Linked DNA regions of Nothobranchius furzeri. The protein of the gene in region 1 binds, or shares a complex with, the protein of each later gene. Links are inferred from orthologs where the notes say so. Each region holds a gene or a part of one and is shown on either strand. Other genes may lie near its edges.

What was found. The genes of interacting proteins can lie anywhere in the genome.
Region 2: the proteins of slc3a2a (region 1) and slc7a8a are in contact, whole or in part, in a cryo-EM structure (PDB 7CMI), measured with the Homo sapiens proteins. The link is inferred for Nothobranchius furzeri from reciprocal best matches to the Homo sapiens genes SLC3A2 and SLC7A8. Residues at the interface, in NP_002385.3 of Homo sapiens: Thr162, Gly163, Leu164, Ser165, Lys166, Glu167, Leu170, Ala173, Gly174, Trp178, Arg182, Leu185, Phe189, Trp190, Trp193, Met196, Leu197, Gly199, Ala200, Ile203, Ile204, Ala207, Arg209, Cys210, Arg211, Leu213, Lys532, Arg534, Asp558, Gln559; in NP_036376.2 of Homo sapiens: Leu147, Leu150, Phe151, Pro152, Thr153, Cys154, Phe155, Pro157, Ser159, Gly160, Leu163, Leu164, Ala166, Ile167, Leu170, Leu171, Trp174, Gln294, Ser352, Met356, Val359, Glu481, Thr484, Leu485, Gln488, Lys489, Met490, Cys491, Val492, Val493.

Annotation. Positions count from the first base shown.
Region 1 is NC_091754.1:59,488,369-59,498,856, reverse strand, and holds the start of slc3a2a (solute carrier family 3 member 2a), read right to left. Parts: upstream 5,150-10,488; 5' UTR 5,030-5,149; intron 4,529-5,029; 5' UTR 4,364-4,528; intron 3,532-4,363; 5' UTR 3,519-3,531; coding exon 3,325-3,518; intron 3,241-3,324; coding exon 3,056-3,240; intron 2,332-3,055; coding exon 2,158-2,331; intron 2,070-2,157; coding exon 1,978-2,069; intron 920-1,977; coding exon 783-919; intron 449-782; coding exon 339-448; intron 267-338; coding exon 64-266; intron 1-63. UniProt on the Homo sapiens protein: Acts as a chaperone that facilitates biogenesis and trafficking of functional transporters heterodimers to the plasma membrane.
Region 2 is NC_091742.1:59,608,560-59,619,360, reverse strand, and holds the start of slc7a8a (solute carrier family 7 member 8a), read left to right. Parts: upstream 1-4,166; 5' UTR 4,167-4,387; coding exon 4,388-4,517; intron 4,518-10,801. UniProt on the Homo sapiens protein: Associates with SLC3A2 to form a functional heterodimeric complex that translocates small and large neutral amino acids with broad specificity and a stoichiometry of 1:1.

The sequences.
Region 1 (10,488 bases):
TGGAGGACAAATGAAGGTCATATGGTGGACTAGCTGCACGACTGTTAAATGTTCCTGGCTTACATCTCCCGCCTGAAGGCCGATTTCATCTCCGTAGGTGAACACCGGCGTTCCGGGTAACGTGAACAGCAGCAGCTGGTACAGACGGATCAGGCTCGGAGACGTCGCCAGTTTAGACAGACGCTCCAGTTTGCTGGCACCGACGCCCCACGCCACACTTCTCTGCTGGGAGTGAAGAGCGTCCACGTCTCTGATGCGCTGCACATCTGGACGACCGCAGGAAGCGAGTCAGAATTCACGTTCAAGACGAAAAGGGCGTTGACCAACAGAAAACTTACTGTCGCCGGTGCTGGTGAGGAGGTCAGGAAGGATGAGGTCCGCACCAGTGGAGTTGACCAGCTGAGACACCTGTGTGGCTGAAAGACCTTGGACCACACCCATCAGCGCTCTGAGACAAGGAAATGCTCCGTTGGTTATTTACAAAGAGAGAGAGAAACTTTTAAACGCTTCTCCACTAGGTGTCGCAGCACCCTGACGGTGGAAAACCATGACTGGCCTGTTGTTTTTTCTGGCTGACCAACCGTTTAACCTCAGCCAGTGGAATGCCTTTGATCCCGGTCAGCTGTTATTCCAGCGATTCTCAGACCGAGCTGCCTAAAAACGAGCCAACCCAAACTTCCAACAGCGTGCTGGCCTCAGCCTCCAAACATTCTTCTAAACGACACAAACCGGATTTTCTGCACCGACTGCTCACGCGGCTAAGAGGAGGAAGAGGCGCTCACCTTTTCTTCGTGTCCTCGGTGCGGTTCCCTTGGACGGCGGCCTGCAGTTTGGGCCAGTCGGTGAAGTTTGAGGCGAGAGAGAAACCTGACACCTTGATGCCATCGACGCCCAAATTCATCCAGTACTCCGCTGCAGCCTGAAGAGGATACGAGCATTTCAGCCACAGCAGCTCCACTAGGTTATACCAGTTATCCATCACACCTAGGGATGGGTACCTTTGACATTTGATTCGATCCGGTACTAATTCCCGGTACCTAGGAATCGATACCGGTACTTAACGGTACCAATTTTAGATACTTTTGATTGTTTAATATTTTAATTCTCTTTTATAATTATATTTTTCTCAATATATAACCATATTTGATAAATATCACGATAAATAACATACAAGTTTGTATTTTAACATCGTCCTTGTAGTTTTATAAGCTGATAATTAAACTGAAGCAAACATCTTTACTGTGAACTAAATTTACTGTGTATCTTCATTCCTTTTGCCGTCCTTTTTCATTTGATTTTTCCTACTGGGAAGTTAGAATTTCCGAGGAGAAAGCGAACGCACCATTAGCTGATAACAATGGTGGCAATGGAAGCTAACATATCAAGCTAACGTTATCTTAAACTGTTTATTTAGCTGCTGGAGCAGATTAAAACGATGATGCCTCACACTTAGATCGTTGTCGCTGGTTTCATCTTCACCCAATCACCCGTCGCATTTAGTAAAGTGAAGCCAAACTTTAGAGCGCGTTCATGTTCTTCTAGTCGGAAATTCGGAGTTCCGAGGAGAAAGCGAACGCACCATTAGCGGAACGGAAGCTAACATATCAAGCTAACGTTATCTTAAACATTTTATTTACCTACCGGAGCAGATTAACATGAGGATGTCTCACTTAGATCGTTGTCGCTGGTTTCATCATCACCCAGTTACCCATCACATTTAGTGAAGTGGACCCAAGCGTTAGCGTGTGTTCTTTCTACCATGCTGCTCTGTTTACAACTGGCTCGCAGCGACCGACGACATAACGCTCTTGCGCATGCGCAGCTGTCTAGGCAAGTTCTCGTTATGAAGGACGTGTACCGAAACGAGGCACCGTTTCAAATGACGTGAATCGGTGCTCAGTCGGTACTGTGGAATTCGGTCGATACCTTAAAAAGTAACGAATTCGGTACCCATCGCTACTCACAACGGTGTCTCACCTTGACTTTGTCCACGATATCGTTGTTATTGTCGGTGAACCAGGGGGCGGATCCCCGGTAGTTGGGCGTCAGGTCAAGCACCACAGAAATACCTTTAACAGAATAAACCAACAGTAAACGTCTGGGGGGGGGGGGGGTAGAATTTCACCAAAGCTGGGCCTTTAAAGGAAAACAACCCACCCTTCTTGTGGGCCTTGGCCAGCACAGACACCAAGGCTTTCTCCGTCCCCTGGGTGGGGTTGATCTGTGTCAGCTCCAGCGTGTTGGGCTCATCAGCCTGGACGGTGTGGAACGGACCCAGAACCAGCCCTTTAACCTTCATCTGGGTCAGGTGGTCCAACTTAGCTTCCAGGCCTAATGCAGGACAAATCAAATAACACGTCGATGGATGTTCCACGCCAGTAAGAATTTCACATCGGGCAAAACAACAAACAAACAAACAACAATGAGACCTAGAGCTGACGTGTGAGAAGCAGCAGGGTCTAAAAGGCTACGAGTGGACATTAGGGGTGAACGGAGCAGCTTTCTTTGTTTTAGAGACCAGTATTGACTTAGAGCAGGAGTGTGTGATGTGAACGAGCATCCACACCCTCTGCTGGCCACTGGAGCACAAGGAGGTCCTTTTTATGCCGGAACAATCAGGTCACGTGTGGGTTTTGGAGTCCTTCCCAAAGCCTGCTGGGAACAAGCGTTCCCCCTTAATTCACTCCGAGCTCAGAACATTCCGTCCTTCCTACCGTCCCCTCATTAAAGATAATACACCTGTATTATAAAGTAATAAGGTGTTAAGGAAGCACGCGTACTAAAGTACAAGGTTGCTCAACTTCAACTCGGATCTGATTAGGAGGTCTAAAGAGACGACTCGCTCTTCTTTCGTGTCCCTTTGGCCGTTAAGTCATTCAGTGCCAGCCAAGTCAGCAGTTTAGTATCAAGCTGGCTGATACAGGCGATACTGAGCGGAGGCAACTCCACACACAGTCACAAGACTCCCCTCGAATGAATCAGCCCACACTTCCTCTGAATCCTGACACAAAAACAGAAGACTGGGTCGTTTACTCTAAAACCAAACGCACTTTACCTTCCATTCCTTCAGAAAAGGCATCAAGGTCAGGGATCTGATACAGAGGTCCTTCGTTCCACCAGTTCATCTCCGGGATGGGTTTGCAGCGAGGGGCCTGCACAATGATTACAATCGCTCCAGCCAGCATGCCGACCCAGCCCAACCAGAACAGGACCAGCAGCACCCAGCGGGTTCGCACCCACCTGCACCAACAACGGGAAGTGTTTAGATGGGCACACACACACACACAAACACACTTTGGTTGTGTGATGGTTGTGAGCGGTTACCCTGGAGTGCCCGCGACCTTCATCAGCTCATCCTTGGATAGGCCGGTGAATGTGACCTCATCCTCAGGGACCTTCAGCTTCACGCTGCCGTTCTTCTCACTCACCGGTGGACCGTCTCCGGTCATGGGCTGCTTCTCAGGGTCCACCTCATTGAGCTTCACCTCCTCCATGTCGATCTCTGTGTCCTTACTCATGATTTAATCTGATCTGGGGGACAAAGGAGGGACACTGAGAATATGGTTTTGTTACTGGGTGAGAACATACCTGGCAGAAAGGTGGATTAAAAAGCTACAGGTGTCTACATAATTTTCATCCGGATTATCTGGTGGTTTGATCCTAGAACAGAGGCTAGACAGGCGTTGCTGCAAGCAACAGACCGTATTTGACCTCGTTAACGACTGATGAGCTAAATTGTGAAATAAAACACATAACTGCCGTTTACACGTTATTGTTAGAGTTTATACGGAGCTGGTTAAAGCTGAGACAGCATGGAAAGCGATAATCAGTCCACAAGGTGTTCCCGTTGAGCGGGTTTAGCAGATGATGAAACGTCTCTACCGGCTTACACAGCCGGCGGAAACGCCGCAAGACCTTCACAATAACAGTTCGAATATTTTAAAAACCATTAACACAGTTTTAAATTTAAGATATTTTGTTAATAATTTCATTCAATATTAATATGAAACAGAATCTGTATTTAAACTAAAGAAAATTCGCACTGAAATTTGTAAAAAGAAAGTTAGGTTGTTTTAATTTGTCATACCGGAAGTGAGCCGGCGTTTTGACACGCTCGTTAATCATCGTGTAAATGAGGAAATAATTATTAGAAAACGACTGTTCTTGTTATACATCACAGTTAAAGACAAGAAAATATCGTGTGCTAAACAAGTGACACCAGTCTGCCAGTGTTTTGTTAAAACCGGCAGCAGTAACTGCGTAAGGCGCAAGCGCACGTGCCAAATGACACTCCGTTTTCCCCATTCAACCCATTTACCTAAGCTACTAGCTAATAATACGATCGTAATAATGTATACATTACCTGTAGAAGTCCGTGTAGGATCCGTCTGTGTTTTACTGTACGTGTTTGAATCGTTTTGGCTCTGGGTGTGTACCGTGATAGAGGAGAGCAGTGTATTTGTAGCTACGCATAAACCCCACCCACAACAGGAACTGGCCAATCAGATGCGTCCTTTTTGATATCTTCCTAGAAAAATAAAAGAACAAACATGAAGAATTGTTCTAATTTAAATCTCAAACCCTCCTTTTTGGTGGATTCATGTACTCGAGTTGCTAAAACCTACGGAATTTTATTTTTTTATCCTGACGCCGTTTTCAGTTTGGAAGTGTTTAGGTCGAGTACAAAATGTACAATTCTCTGATTCACCATTGCAGCATAGCAAAACAACACAGTATGCTTGTCTACCAGGACGATGTTTAACTAAACGTGAAACCGCTTTGATTAGACGTGTTTTGACTGGAATACAAACAGCTAATGTGCTTAGTGATTGTTCTAGAACACAAAAGACCTTTAAACCTTTGAACTGTAGAGATTTTCACTCTTTCTTTCATTGATTTAATTTATTTGTGATCACATTATATCTCTCTCAATTTACTTTCTCTGTATTTGCATAACAGATAATAACCTTTCGTAGAATAATGTGATGCTCACAAACTCATGAGAACATGTATTTTTTCCTGTTCTGACCTTATTTTTGATTTCCATCCATCCATCCATTGTCTGAACCCGCTGTGTCCACGCAGGGTCGCGGGGGGGCTGGTGCCTATCTCCAGCGGTCAATGGGCATTCAGGCGGGGTACACCCTGGACAGAGAGCCAGTCCATTGCAGTTATTTTTGATTTCCAGAAAATAAAAAAGAAACAGTGCGTTCTTCTATGTAAGGCATTAAAGAGCATGTTGTTCTTAAATACTTTGTCTGAAGTTGACTTTTTGCAGGCAACAGAAAGAGTGCTAAATTCCTGGGAATAGCTGTGATTTGAGCTAAAAACAACGCCTTCCTGGTGCTGCCTGTGCTTTGAAGAAATTCCCAGCTGTTGTTGACCTTCACTGAGTTACAGTAAAAACAGACTTTTCACAAAAAGCAGCAACTTTGCTTGGATCCTCTACAGAACCAGGGTTGCATGGACCTAATAGTAACTTTTTTTGCATTAATAATTTTCCTGTGAAGTCATATTTTTAATCTAAAGTTTTAACATTTGGGAAAATAACCGACTTGCAAGTTTTGTAAGTTGCAGTAAGCTGCAAACTCCCCTCCATACAGGACCTGTACACCTCTAGGACACTGAGGCGTGCAGGTCGGATAATAGCTGACTCGTGTCACCCTGGACAGTCTCTTCGACTCGCTCCCATCTGGCAGAAGGCTCAGATCCATTCGGACCAGAACCTCTCGCCACAAAAACTGTTTCTTCCCCTCTGCAGTTGGACTTTTGAATGAAAATCCTAGGGCAGCCCACTCAAGTCGATTGGTCCCAGTCACGTGACCCGATGCTGTGCTTGAAACATTCAGCAAACACTCGGATAAGTACCTACACGGGGTAGATAGCTGCTTCTCTAATTCTTGCCACTTTTTACATGAATAATTTTATCATGAGTGTTTTATTAGTTCTTATATTTGCTTATCTCTCAATTAATTTTTTTCTATCTTACCTTCTGCACCAAAATACTGCAGCAATTTCCTAATGTTGTGACTTGGCACACCTATGGCAACAAAACCTTCTGATTCTGATTCTGAAACAGACCGACGGGATTGCGGGTTGTTGTCTAATGAGTTAAATGGAAGTATTTTAGATGATGAAACTACCTCTGACTCGTAAACATCTTTACTGTTTTTATTATTTATCCAGCTCATTTAATGTGTCGCCTCTGGATCTTTTTACTCCCTAAAGAGGTAAACATCCTTCCTGCTGCTGCGGATGATTGCAGGAACAAGCTCCACCGCTCTGCTTCACGTGCCTGGATCTCTGCATGTGGGCGCCTGTTCTGTTTCTTCAAATCAACTTAACAATCAAATGATCTTTTGCTGGGATTAGTAGGGTCACGAGACTGTTGTTATCACATACATGTCACTTTTATACACGGATGTTGTTCTTAGTGGAGTTCAAAATGGCCTCCATGGGAGAGTTCCAAGGTCAAAACCTCTGAGGACCAAAAGCAACAACAAAGACGATTCGGACTCTTGCTAAGCAGCAGCTTTTGGGAAAGTGTTTTTGTGTTCTGATGCAACAAACGTGGAACCATTTGGAAGGTGTGTGTCCCATTCCATCTGCAGTAAAGCTAACACTAAAGCATCATAGCTACGCTCAGACATGGTGGTGGTAGTGTGATGGTCTGGGGCTTCTTTAGGACCACTCGCTGAATTATCACTATTTTGTAAAGAAAACCGGGAGATAATTCATTACCGCTTTAATAAGCACACATATCTTCTGGGAGTTACAACCGGTTCTTAAAGAGCAAGTTCACTGAGACACATTTTTTTATTTTATATTTTTCACTATTTTACAAATAAAATCATCACTCTGAGTTTGAGTTTGAGCTAAACATGAAAATAGTGTATTTCCTGCATTAGCCGTTGATAAAAATAGACGAGGAAACGCTTGGATTAAAAAAACCGAACAGATTTATGTCACACTCATGGATGTAGTTGGGGGGGGGGGGGGGAAGTCAACTTTTTTCCAGGTAAATTTACGTCCTCTGCACTTTTTACCAGCCAAAAACAACATTATGCTTAATTAAATACACTGGTTGAGCACTATGACTAAGTGGAAAACAACCACTTGTGTTAAAGCCTGTTTCCCATTAGAACTGTCCATAAGCTCATCTATTGGCTCTGCTGATACTTGCTAACGTGTCATTGGACGTTCCTGCCACCTGTGTACTTGACAGTTCTGCATACCTGACGTTGCATAAAAGAGCCTGTAGTTTTACACATATTTGCTGTATACTTACTGTAAAGACCCCCCTGGTCCTGCCGGTCGCGTCCCCCCACTTCTAAAGTCAAAACTACGTCCATGGTCACACTGAAAATTAGCTTTCATGGACTCGGCCATCTTGGTTCCTGACAGGAAGGGAATTGTTGATTAAGCCCTATTAAGCCTCCAAGAAAGAGCAGAGCACATTTTGGCTAGTAGAAGCTAACCGTTAGCATCAGCAACATGGCAGAACTCTTTCAGGCTTGTGTTATTAGTGGATATAAAACATTGGAGGCTGTGGAAGAGTTACGTTGTCATTAGCCAATCATTAGCATATCAGGAAATAAAAGCAAGAAGCACTCTAAGTCCTACTTTTTTATGCTCCCATCTAATCAGACTAAGAGCGCCAGAGCTTGTTTTCCCACGGAGGCCCACTGGCAAGGCATTAATTTATACCAGAGACCACTGCAAATGCATTAAAATAACAAGTGAACTTTGTATTTGGGTTTCGGGGCGATTACTTGTACACCAGGTTGGCTGGAACAGCTCCTGTTTCTATAAAAATGAAGTATTTCTAAACAACATTTTGTATTTGCTCGGGTTATCTTTGTCTGATTTTGAAATGTGCTCGCTGATCCGAAACATTTGGCTGCCAAAAATAGCAAAGCAGAAGAAATCTATGAGGAGACGACTAGTTTTTCCACAACAAGGCATAAATAAGTCTTGCTACACAGCAACCTTTAGCAACCCTGGAGGGCGAGCGAACTCTGGCTGAGCGTCAGAAACGTTTGGACTTGAAGCTGAGCACGTGCCCTCTAATGAAAACCGTTTGCTTCCAGGAATAAAAGGTGTGGTTTAGTATTTAGCAGCTGTTTGTCTTTATTTAGACATGGTTCCATAAATCTGATCTGTAGATTCTAGTCCCACCGTCTGGTCCTCTCTCTCTCTCTGTGTGTGTGTGTGTTGATCACGTGCAGGCAGAGTTCGGCTGAGCTGCTCACTGATGTGAACACAGTGTGCTGGTGATCTGCAGGGAGTGAACGGTGGTGAAACGGTGTAAAGGAGACCGTGTTTTTCCTCAGCTGACCTTCACGTTACTCCGTTTCCAGGCATCAGTGTTGAGCTCCAGGATGTTTGGTTGAACATGGGAAGAATGAAAAGAAGATTGTCTGTGTCGACTAAAATTTAGGTGATGGGAGGAGCCGGAGAAATGAGGGGAAAGGGCATGGGGTGAGTGAGGACGGAGAGGGGATGGGTAAACTTGTTTATGAGCTGAGGGTGAAGCAGAAATAATACTGAAATGGACTCCAGGGATGGTGTCTCAGTTACAGCCGGTTTTCACGTAGAATAAACGTACAAGGAAAACATCCAGGAAGCTTTTAAAACCTGCAAATGTTTTGGGTTTTAGGCATTGGTAACAGAGAAAAGTAAATATGTTTATTGACATATCTGATGTTTTTCAGATTTTAGGAGAAGAGATCCAGGATGCTAGCTTGTAGCTCACAGGAGGAGCGGAGGGCCACACTGCCGCTGACCAGACCTTCCTGTTTTCTGTGAGGCAGGAGGGGGTTAAGCTGCAGCTCTACGCTCCAGGGTCAAAAAAAAAAAACCACAAAAAAGTGCTCCGTAAGAGGAAAAACATCCACGTCAACATGTTCGAAATGAGGAAGCAAGAAGTTTAAATGTTCTTTATTCCTGCAAGTGCACACAGCCAGAAAACGTCCTCTAGAGCCCAGGTCTGAGCCGCTGAGAGGGTTCGTTTAGTCAGACACGTGCTCGGTGAAAAAAACCAGACCGGTTTGGACCGGTCTGTGTGAGGATTCATGTGTTTCAGGATAGCTGCAACCCACACACACACACACACGCACACGCACACGCACACACACACACACACGTGTTTCAGAGACGATGTCGGTCGATTCAGAGGAACAAGACAAAATGTTGTTTGTTGGTGTTTGTTTATTGATTTGTTCACGCTGTTCCCATCAGGTTTCAGCTTTGAGACTCGGCCAGCGTCGGACTGCTACATGTACACACGTGACTCGGTGCGACTGCAGTCGTTTGAGAATCATTTACAGAGAGAAATCAGAGGCGAGCCTTCTTATAAGCTCATAAACCACTCAGGAGTTTAATCAGATCGGGCGGACTTCGAGTCATGTTGTGCAGCTGTGGGTGTTCCCTGCTTCTAATCCCGTCACTGCTCTGAATCAGACGTTCTCTTGTGCTCATTTCATACCCCCCCCCCCCCCCCCCCCCCCAAACACGAGCTTCTGTTTGTCAGGAACACTCATCAGTAAATTACCCATAGCATGGATGTAATTTGCACTTTAGAAGTGGGGGGGACACGGGTGGGGGGGTGGGGGGGCATGGGGGGGGGGTTATCTTCAACTCAAACGGTTGTTTTCTGCTTGGTCCTAGAGCTCAACAGTCATGGGTGTCAATTTAATATAGCGTAATATTGTTTTGGGATGGTAAAAAGTGCAGGGGTCAAAACTTATCTTTGGACAAAGTGGGGGGGACGTGCCCCCCCCCCCCCGCCCAAATTACGTCCATGCACATAGAGTAATGAAGCACTGTGTGTAGTGATAAATCCCTAAAGTTTAACTATAAATCCCACTGTAGGCTTTATTTCTGCCTCCTCATGCTTTAAACCCTCAGCGCCCCCCCCCCCCCCCCCGCCCCCCATGCCAGCACAGAACAATGGCTGCTGGTTACATAAGAGCCGGCTCGCTGTGAGCTGCATGTGAAGCAGAGACCAATGATGAAGAGCCTCATCTTTCAGGGGTAATGCAGGAAGCAGAGTGGCACAGCGAACCCTGAGTTGCAGACATTTTGTTTTGTTTGTCATTGAAAAGGTTTGAATCTTGATTTTAATGTGGTATAATTTAAATTGATCCCAGCACAGTGACATGTGCGAGTGTTTAAGTAGGAAATTTTTAAATAGAAATTAAAACACATTAAGTCCTAATCAATTCCGGCCACGACTTGTATGTGGACAACATGTTTAACTTACAGGTTTTGGCCTAAAAAACAAAACATCAGCAAACTACCCATGAAAGGGCGCTTTGTAATATTTCAGACTTTCATGGTACATCGAGTCCTAACCACCTAACATCAGTTCAAGGTGCTGGAAAGTCTTGAAAACTCACCTTGAAAGTGCTTGAAACAAACTTGAATTGGCAGAGGTGTCGGAACCCTGCTAAGAGGGCATCTTTGTTTCTCTAAACTGAGGTTCTT
Region 2 (10,801 bases), on another chromosome or scaffold:
GAGGAATTCCTCTTCAGCACGACGCATGACCTTGGATGAACAGGCTAACGGCTAGTTTGAGCAGGTTGCAAGCGGCCATTGTTCTTACAAGGTAGTCTGAAAGGTTTAATTTTAGCAACTCTAAATGAAACATAGGCCAATAGGGTAACAGACCCCGCTCATTATTTGGCAAAAACCTGGTCTCTTTTAGGTATTTTTTAATGATTTATAAAGTATTAACAGTTTAACGAATAAGGTATCTATACACTATTTATTCACTTTTTATAAGGGAAACTACCATAGTGTCTGTCAGCTCCTCTTGCCTCTGCTGTCTTTAGCACGTTTCCTCACATTATCTTTTTGCTCAAATGCTCCAGTGAGCTAATCAAAGGTACACACACCCAACTCAACAGGACAAATTCATTGATAGGAGGACCTTTGACTCTACAGACAGGCTTCTGACTTCACAATGCATACGCAGGACACATGATTAGTAAAAACGGGGATCTTTTCAGCTGCTTATTGATGAGAGCAAAGCTTAAAAGGATTAAAAACATTTCTTAAACATTTCTTACAAATATATTTAATGCTTAGTGAAATTCTAACAAACTGAAGGAAATAAAGGACTTTATTTTACTAAGATGATCAGTGGGGAATAATAAACATTTTATCTAACTGCATCACTTCTTCACCTAATCAGCACAAATGGTGAAAGCCACTTCCTAAACCCATTACCAACACATTTTACCTGATTGAGATGATACAATTAGAAGAAAACAAGCAATCATAAAAGAAAAGAGGCAGTTTGGTTTTAATCAGTGAGCGAAGATGATCAAGAACACATTCTGCAACCATCAGTACACCCGTGAGAACAAAGAGCATCGTGGTGTTTGATCACGTCAAAAGAAAACTGCTTTTGCATTTTTTTCTAAGAAAAATCAAATCTTTGAACAAGATTGGGACTTGATGTGACTTTTTAAGTACTTTGTGAGTGTTGGAGACCCTTTTATCAACATGAGCATCCTCCTCCAAAAGCTCTCAGTAATTCTGATGAGGATAATTTAATTAAACGTAATAGTCCTGAATGTCTTCCACGGAGGGCAACATTTCTCAAAACATCAAACCATGTTCAATTTGAGTGTTTTTTTTTTAAATTTTGGACTACATATGTTCTTACTTAAACATTAAATTACAAAAGAGTTATACCAATACGTCTCTGTCCCTCTGCACACTCAGAATGTCCCACTTAGTCTCTCAACCTCGCCTGTTCTCTAGTTATGGTGTTTGTAAGCATCATATTACAACTAAACACACACTGTACAAAATGATATGTTGAAATTATTTTTACCAGGTGATGTCAGCTGGTTCCACCACACCTAGATGCTTAAATATAAATACTTATATTAGTATTTGTTGGTGCGTCGAAAGTAAAAGTAGGTTTAGTGGAACCAGCCGACATTCAACATTTCATTTGTTAGAGTGTAGAGGATTCATTTGTTTTTGAACATGTAGCAGCAAGGTAAGAACTCTTAATCACCCGAGGTGAACACCTGCTAAATGAGGTGTGTATTATTAACGTTCAGGTAGGAAAATGTACCACACTTGTTCTAATTTCTACATTTCCATTCCTGGGTCAGTGGTTCCCAAAGCTGAGCCACCAGCCCACTGTGGGTCACCAAGAACTGCACAGAGGGTCTTGAGATGATTTCTAGAAATCGAAATTAAACTGAAAACCAATTTCTGTGTTTATAGCGTAGTCGCTACAAAAGCGTATCAAGTTTGTCATAACTGGATATAAGTGAATAGGAGCTGAAGTAGTTTGGTGAATTCATTTAGGTTTTTCTGCATGTTTGTGTTGTCAAATCCCAGATGTCTGGGGTTGTATGGTTTGACAAATGCTATTTTGTGGGTCTGAAAAGTACGGGAACCACTGATCTAGGTTGTTTTAACTGTATATGTAGATACTGGTAACCAGTCATGCCCTAAAAACAAATGTTCATGGGGCCAATGGAAATTTTGGGGTGGCACCCCTGTGGTCAGGGGCACAACTACCTACTTTTGGAGGGGGGGCCAGACACATAATAGGCGAACCTGCAAAACCACGTGCCTCAATTTAAGGAACAAAGCAGAATCCAGCTGCTGTTATGTATTTGTTGTTGGTATTTATAGAAACTTAATATATCTGCAGGGCTTTGGGCCCGGGGCAGTTTTAAACCTCGGACCGACCCACTTTAGATCATGACCTGTGATTGATAATATCATGTGTTCTTTACGCCAATCAGAAAATTCTGTTCATAAAAGCAGAGCGGCACTTAATCTCTGACGTGCTTCTCTGTTATTAGTCATGTCATGTGCAGATGCAAAAACGGACAAAAACGCAGCTGTTATTAAACGCAGGAAATGCAGACTACAAATATTTTTGTGTCACATGCACTGCATACCTACTTTTTGCGCCACTGCCAGTGGTAACTCTGAGTTTAGCCTAGCTGTGCATTGTACTTTCAGTCATTGTCCATCTATTTTCTTTTCCCGCTTATCCACGCAGGGTTGCAAGGGGCTGGTGCCTATCTCCAGCAATCTCTTGGAAAGCAGGCGGGGTACACCCTGGACAGGCCAGTCCATCGCAGGGCGACACAGAGACACACAGGACAAACAATCAAGCACACACACCTAAGGACAATTTTAGAGAAACCAATCAACCTGACAGTCATGTTTTTGGATTGTGGGAGGAAGATGGTGTACCCAGATAGAACCCACAGGGAGAACATGCAAAATCCATTCAGAAAGACCCCAGGCCAGGATTTGAATCTCCTTTCTGCAAGGCAACAGCTCCTACCACTGCACCAGTGTGCCGCCCGTTATTTCAGTTATTGTTTCAGATGTAATTGTTTTAGAATAAACATATCCACTAAATCTACAGGGATTTGTGCTTTTGGTGGTTTCCCTGGGGGACGATTGGGGCACTAACTCTTTACCTGGGGTGGGCATGGCCCCCTCTGGCCACATCTTAGGAGCACCACTGCTGGTGACACAGTGATGCTTTTTTAAAGACTCCAATAAAGACAGTGGCATCTGTGCGTGTGCTGTGTGTCAGCAAAATACCACTGATATGTTTCCTGATGACTCGGCATGAGTGAGTGAGGGTGCCACTTCCTGTCTCACTCGCCCAAACGCATCAGGAGTTTTCCCTAAATGTAAAAGGAAATACTGCAGGAACCATATTCTGTGTGGCAAAAGCAGCTGGTGTACAGTCAGGATATGTGAGCAGTCGCTCAGGCGGATGTGACGTTTTCTGTGAAATCCCAGGAGATGCTATTAGAGTAAAAGGGTTTCTTAGTCTTGCCAGAGCCCAGCCTCTGTACTGGTGTCCTTGAACAAAAACAACCAATCCCTCCCAACAATAGCCGTGTCTCTATTTTATTAGAAAAAAAATCTGATAAATATATTAAAGAGTTAGCATCGTAAACGTGTTTTCCTGCACTGAAATCAAATACTATTTGACCACAATGAGGAAATAGCTTTATTCTTTTACAGGATAAGTGGATGATAAACCATCCTCGAGGTAAAGTTGGACCAAAACAACTTGAAGAGAACCCTGTGAGGAGCCTGCACCCTCTGCAATGCTCTGCAGCATGAATCAAAGTTGTGACGTCTGTCTGCAAAGAGCTAAATTTAGATTCAGGCTTCTGCTCCCTCTTGAATAATAAATGGAAGTCTGCACATGCTGTGACGACATATAGAGACGGGGAGCTGGAAGAAGCGTGTTTTCTGTGGTTTGAAGGCTGAGTGCAGGGGAGGAACAGCTGATGTTTGATGGGAGGAAACTTAAAGAAGAAGGGAGGGTCCTGCAGCTGAAGGAGGAAAAGCAAAGGCAGACATGGGGCGGTGCTATGATCACATGAAGGACAGAGTATATGTACCCAGCCATAGGTTGTCTTATTAGAGGACTTGATGTCTCTGTAGTCCACAGCTGCTCCACGCTTTCTGGTTGTGGATAAAGGAGATGCCTGGAAACCTGTGAGCGCTTTTTATTTCTTTTTTGTTTGTTTCCTTGTTGCACCTGAAGCCCAAATAAAAGCTCTTGTCCCAGGATTTAACTGGAATATGCGCCTTTTTTGCTCTAAGAGACAATCTGCTGCAGACACAAAGATAGAAAGAACCACATCCTGCAGCGCTGTTTCGCCTCTTTCAGTTAATGTTTTCATCGTATTATTATAATAAATAGTAACGAGTCGTTCTCAGAAGTTGTTGCAGCAGCAATCATCAGCTAAGCACTTTTTAGCGGACATTGCCCTGTTGCACCTTTCTGTTTTTGCCCATAACCTTTTGGCGCACGAGCTGCGAGGAGCGCACGGCCAGCACCGGGTGCTGCGAGGAACAAACGCAACTTTTAAACAGTTTCATCAAAATGACGGACGGACCGAGACAACGGAGCAGCACGACGGGGTCTGCCAAGGATGCTGCCGGTGAGAAGGAGTCTGGAGGAGTCGCGCTCAAGAAGGAGATCGGACTTGTGAGCGCGTGCGGGATTATAGTTGGTGAGTTAAGCTTTCTCTTTTTATGATGTTTGTTTTATTTGTTTATTTCTTTGGCTCTTCAGATTTTATCTGGAGCGAAATTCTGAAATCGCAGCTGGGCTCTTATGTTAGAATTTGAACTAAAACGTTTTATTGTAACTAAATTAAGAGCTATATGCAGGTTCTAATATATAAATAAGATGAATACAACAATACGAAAAAGGCATAAAATAAATAATAGTCCAATGCAAGGCACTGCAGTGTGTAGAAATGAGCTGGACCTGTGTGAGGTTAGCTCTAAAATGTTGATGGTTTGTCTGTAAGTCAGGAGCTTCTTTTCCTGGATGTAACCGAACCTTTCTTCTTATCAGCACATAACCATGACCAAATAAGAAGCTGACTCCTCTGTGCGCAGAGGATTTTCTTCTCAAGTGGCTCACATGTCTGGAGATAAATGGCAGAGAGGGCCGATACCGATTTCCGATTTTTGCACAAGCGATGACCTGTTGGTACTGATTTTCTGAAATGTTTCCAATAAATAAAATAAAAACACTAATCTTTTAAAATTCTGATGCACTTGATGCTAGTAAAACAAAATGTTGGAGTTGCTGCATTCACACAACCCTAAAAAAATCTGATGTTTGGGTGGTTCGATTGGCCAATCAAATATTAGGCCAAGCAGGCAGCTTGTTGACCAATTCGGCCCACCCGCTGATACTTTTGGATGATTTGCTCTAAAACGTGTGATGGTTTCTCTTTTAGCTGCTGATTTTGATTAAAAGCACACCTTTCAAATGTGTTCATCTATCAGGAGTGAGCTCACATCGTGCCACTCAGAAGCTATCATAAACAAAAGTTAGATCTAGTCGTGTCTCAGCGTTAGATTGATTGGCATTGTTTAAATGTGATACCCTTACCATTTCAACACTTATTCATGATCAATCAACCTCACGGTCGATGTTTAAAGGTGAAGACACTCAGATTGAGCCGCTTGGTGGAACAAAAACTAGATTACAAACAAATAAAGATGACTTAATCAGACTGATCAATAGAAACTCAGAGGTGAAGCATGCTGCGTGTTGTCCAGATGGAGAGGGATTCGGTCCTCTGGTTGACCTCTGATGAACAGAGATGAGGTGACTCATTCATGTGTTTCCAAGGCAACGGGGAGAACAGCGGTGAGAAAAGGTGAAAAGGAGAGAGGCAGAGTGAGATGATGTGTGAAGCCGGTTCCTGGTTGTTTGTCTCACAAGTGGATCGTTCCCACGTGCCACGGCCTGCAGCACTGGGATAATGTGAATTTCAGTTGGTGGCATGTCGCTTTCAGGACGTTGTGCTCCTTCTAAGCACGTTCATTATTATGATTAAATGCTTTTTAGAAGCTGTTTTGGTAAAATATGTCAGAGTTTTTCAGATTATCTTTGACAAATTTATGATGAACTTGTGCGCGGTGAAAACAGGACAGGTCTTCTTCTGGCGACTTTGGCATGAAGGTCATTTTTGTGCAGCTGGAGCTCCACAACAGTCATGTTAGACTTGCCACTTTTCTTTTTACTTTAATGAACGATAATTGAGTTCTACAGAAATATGGATTTATAATTTAGGCATCGGATTTAATATCTTGTTGATTTGCGAGCACGTTGTGGAGTCCGAAAAAAAGCGGAATACAAAGAGTTGAATTATTTTTCATTGTATGACTTAAAGCATAAAGTTATATTAATTCATCAAAAACAGTTGGCAACACTGATAATATGACAAAGTTGTTATTGCTAGCTCACTGATGCTATTTCTAGTTTCAAATAACTCTATAGTTCTATTTTAAAAGCTAATAAATTTCAGATGTAGGTGATGTAAATGTTTTTTACAGTAAAGTTTTTCAGATTGGAGTTAAGATGACACCAGCCCACTTGTTTTGTTTTGGCCCCGCCCCGGCTAGCTAGCTGTTAGCTCATTCAGAATCATTCTTTATTTCACCAAACGAAGGCTGTTTAAAGAGATACTTATGACAGGTAAAATATTGATTGTTCATCACATTTCCACATCAAAAGATTAAAGACCATAAAAGATAAAAGAAGCTCTACTTATTGTGAGTTAAAGTAAGTTTACTGACAATGTTCTGCATTTCATCTGAGGTCTTTGCCAAAGCCCACTTAAAACGGTTTTCACTATAGCTCCACCCTCTCTGTCTTATCAGCTATTTAGATAATCAGATCATTTCACTCTCCCTTCATAGTTAATAAGAAACAAAGACTTTTACAGTCGACCAGAGTCCTCATCAGCGCCTCCTCGGCGGAGCTCTTGTCTCGTCCTTGATCAGGTAACTCATTCATGCTTGTTCCGATCACACTGTCACGTGTGAGACAGTGAGCTCAGGTGACCCGGCTGATCCTTTTGGCTGTGAACATGCCCCCACTACGTTTCCATGAAAACAGTCAAGAACACGATGACTTCAAAGGCTTTTATGGCCTGTTGTACAGTGCACAATTTCGTCACCCACACATAACTCCAGGAACGCGGAGAGCTGTGATTTTGGATTAGAAGTAAACTTTTGGCTACCATAAGCAGGTCTCCGCCCTGATAATGCTGTTTTATTAGCTTGCCGTACTTAGTTTGAGCTGAGATTAATTCTTGTTTGGGAATGGAGCTACTTTTTAAACAAAATCTAAGTTAAAAATAGAATTTCATTAAACAAAAAGCTGTTTTTTAGACAGTTTTTTTATGCTAATCCTTTATGATTGTTTAGATTTACAGCCTCGGTGCATAAACTCAACTTGTAATAAAAATTTATGAGTTTTTTAGCTTAACAAGTTGTATCTGTATATAGATGTCTACTTTTGTGCTTATATATAAAATTTTAACATGCAAACCAGCAACAAATGTCAGGAAGGATGCTCCTGAATACAATCTCATAATAAATTCACATCAGTCAGTTGGTTTGTTCTTGTCTTCATGTGTTCTAATCTGATAAAGTGGCATGAATTATTAATTGAAAAACTCTAATCTTGATCATTTTATCAGTCGTGCACAAACATTTGCACAAAAAATTCAGATTCAGAAACTGTAGGCCTGTTGATGAAGTTTAAGAGGAACAGAAACGTTCTCTCTTATGAAATTCACTTCAGTGATAAAAAGAGGATATTAAAAAATGCTGAGCAAAAACAAACCTTCTGAGATTTGAACGAAGAGGAAAATTTAAAAGACTCTGATTGTTCATAAATCCAACTTTTGTGACTTGTGTTTCTGTCTCTTTTTTTTTAAATCCACTGTTTCTAAAACCTGATGCAGCTTGCTGGTGATCTTTCGCTGTGATCCAGAAACAAGCTGCAGTTTGGCAACATTTTCAGCGAAAGAGATTTTTAAAAAAGCATCCCAGAGACAAGTGGAAAGAACAGGAAACGTGAAAAATTCCCTAATAGTCAGCAGTCTTCTCATAGCATGAATGCACAATGTGCACGTTTCATTACCTCTAAATAAAATCTCAGTTGGCACTCGAATTTAAAAAAAAATCTGTTGCTTTTTAACATTAGTAAACTTTGCCAAAGTTTGTGTTGCAGAATCACATCAGGAAAAACAAAAACCTCATTTAACATGTTGGTGCTATTTTTTCTACAAAGGTCAAAGGTCATGCACTGTAGCCCCTTACTGCTATAAAGATGTCAGGAATCAAGGGAGGGGAGATTTTTTTTCTTTACTTTCACACCTTTCACCTACAGCTAGAGGTACATGTAGTTTGCAGGGAATTCATTTGTTATTTCAGATTTGTTATTTAAAATATTTTCAATAACTACGATACTGGGGTACATACAAACGGACAAGATGTATTCACCTACACTGTGCTGCATTTATGGATCTAGACGTCTGTGTACTCTGGATGTTGGACTGAGCGTCCCACCATGGCGTGTTACCTGCAGATAAACATCAAAGAACAATTAAAAGGAGACATGGCAGTTTTGGCTTGCTTTTAGCACCCCCTAGTGTCCCTTTAGTAGAACCAAAAGCAAAAATGTTCTCTTTGCTGTGAGTTTGTCTTTTTAACACCTTACTCTAACTGCGTAAATGTCTCCCCAGCCTTCATTAGTCTCTAGAGGAGTGATTCATTGTTAAATCAAACAAATTAGCTGTGTTCATGATCTAAAACACGCAGGAAGCAGACTGCAGCACCAGGTATGTCAGCTTCATTTTTTCTCAAGTCCGACAGGGACTGGACCGGCACTCTGAAGTTGCAAGTGTGGTATTCTGGCCACAGAGGGCGATCAGTGTCTTAGTGACATTTCATTAACCCTGTAAAGGATCATATATATATATATATATATATTTATATATATATATATATATATATATATATATATATATATATATATATATATATATATATATATATATATATATATGTCGATGTTTAGCACTTACAAGATCAAGTAAATTCTTTAAAAATATGAAAAATGTGCATAGTATCCTTTAATATTAGAACATGCTGCAGCACGGTAAGATCTTTCTGAATCAAATGAAATGACTTTCAGCTCATCATTCTCTGTGTCAGGAATCTGTTTTATTTACAAAAATGAGGTGGGACTTAAGATAAATGATGAACAGCATCCAGCCACTAGGGGGCTCTCTTGTGTTTAGAGTTCAACTTTCACTTCAATTTCTTGTTTTTTTTTTTTACATGGGCTGTTTTTCAATACCAATGTAGGCTAGTACTTTCTTGCATACTTGACAAGTAGTTCTTGGCAAGTACGCCAGAAAGTCCGTTCTGGTGAATGCAGGGGAACAAGGACGGCCTTTGGAACAGAACCGTACTCCGTTACGTCATGGCAACGAGCGCTGCTTTATGCTATGGGTTGTCTACTTTTTAATGTGATGTTTTTTCTTTTATAAATTTTTCTTAAAAATTGGGTTTGGGTTAGGGCTACCGTTAAATGCCCGCTGTTAAATAAAGTTATTTTTAATCAGGACAGATCTTTGTAAGGCAACGCTTGTCATGTTCTGGGGGAGGTGTCTAACCCAAGACATGCAGAATCAAACCCGAACACAGATGGATGGAAAAAAATAATTGATTTTGGAAGAACAATTACTAAAGGCACACTGGGAAGTTCAGTGGACTGGAAACGGGAATGCAGCGTCTGGAGGGGAGAACAGAGGCAGGTGAGTCCTGGGGAGTAAGTCTAAACTGAATAGTGCAGAGTGAAGACTTACTGGGGTTGACAGGATTGGGGAGTGAGGGGAGGTAGTGAGCCAGGGTAGATCCAGGTGTGCAAAGCTGGAGAGGGAGCGTGGGGGTCGAGAGAGAGTGGGTCGGTCAGGGCGGATGGATGATGAATGTTGCAGAGCGAGATGGTCCGGAGTCCTATGGAGTTGGGTGAGTAATCCTGATGTATCGAGTAGGGTTGTCAAGGTATGAAAATTTAACCTCACGGTTATTGTGACCAAAATTATCACGGTTTTCGGTATTATCGCGGTATTTTTTTAAACGATGTTGCATATGTTCAGAAAGCATTGATAGTCCTGTTCTACACAAACTGAAATAGTTTTGAAAAGGTTTAACAGTGTTTATTAAACCTAAAATAACACAAAGCCTTAACAAAGTGCAACTTTTCACAAGGAACAAATAGCTTCTTTTTCTGGAACATGTTACAGTAGTGCAGGTTTAAATTATACAAATCCAAACATTCAAAACATAAACAATATGTAAACAAATCAAAGAAACACCACTTGTTTTCTTCATTATCAAAATGAAAATCTAAAACTCCAGTCCACACTTGACTTGAGCACTGTACAAGTCAACCTTAAAAAAATATGTATTTAAAATAAATAGCCACTTTAAACAAATTACTAAAATAACTACTACACTATGTAATCAAATCCAAATGTTCAAATATAAATGGCATTGAAAAAGTAAACAAATCAATGACAAGGAACTAATGGTATATTTCCTTCATCAACAAGTAAGATGCTTCATCCAGCAACCAGCATCATGACTGCATGCATGACCATTTACTTCAGGTTGAAATGCAAAAATGTCAACATATTAACCTTTTCTGGTTTAAGATGTGATCTAAGAGAGGAAAGAATGTGCCCGCTGGCACTGAATATTCTCTCTGATGGAACACTAGTTGCTGGGATACACAAAAGCTTTTTTGCCAGCCTGGCAAGATGAGGCAGCTCTGATGCATGGCCCCTCCACCACACCAGTGGATCATCATCAGCTGGAATGGATGGCAGAGACATGTAGACTTTGACTTCCTCCTTCACTTTATCTTCTGGGGTGGCTGGACCTGAACCCTCTTCAGATCGCTGCTGCCTTG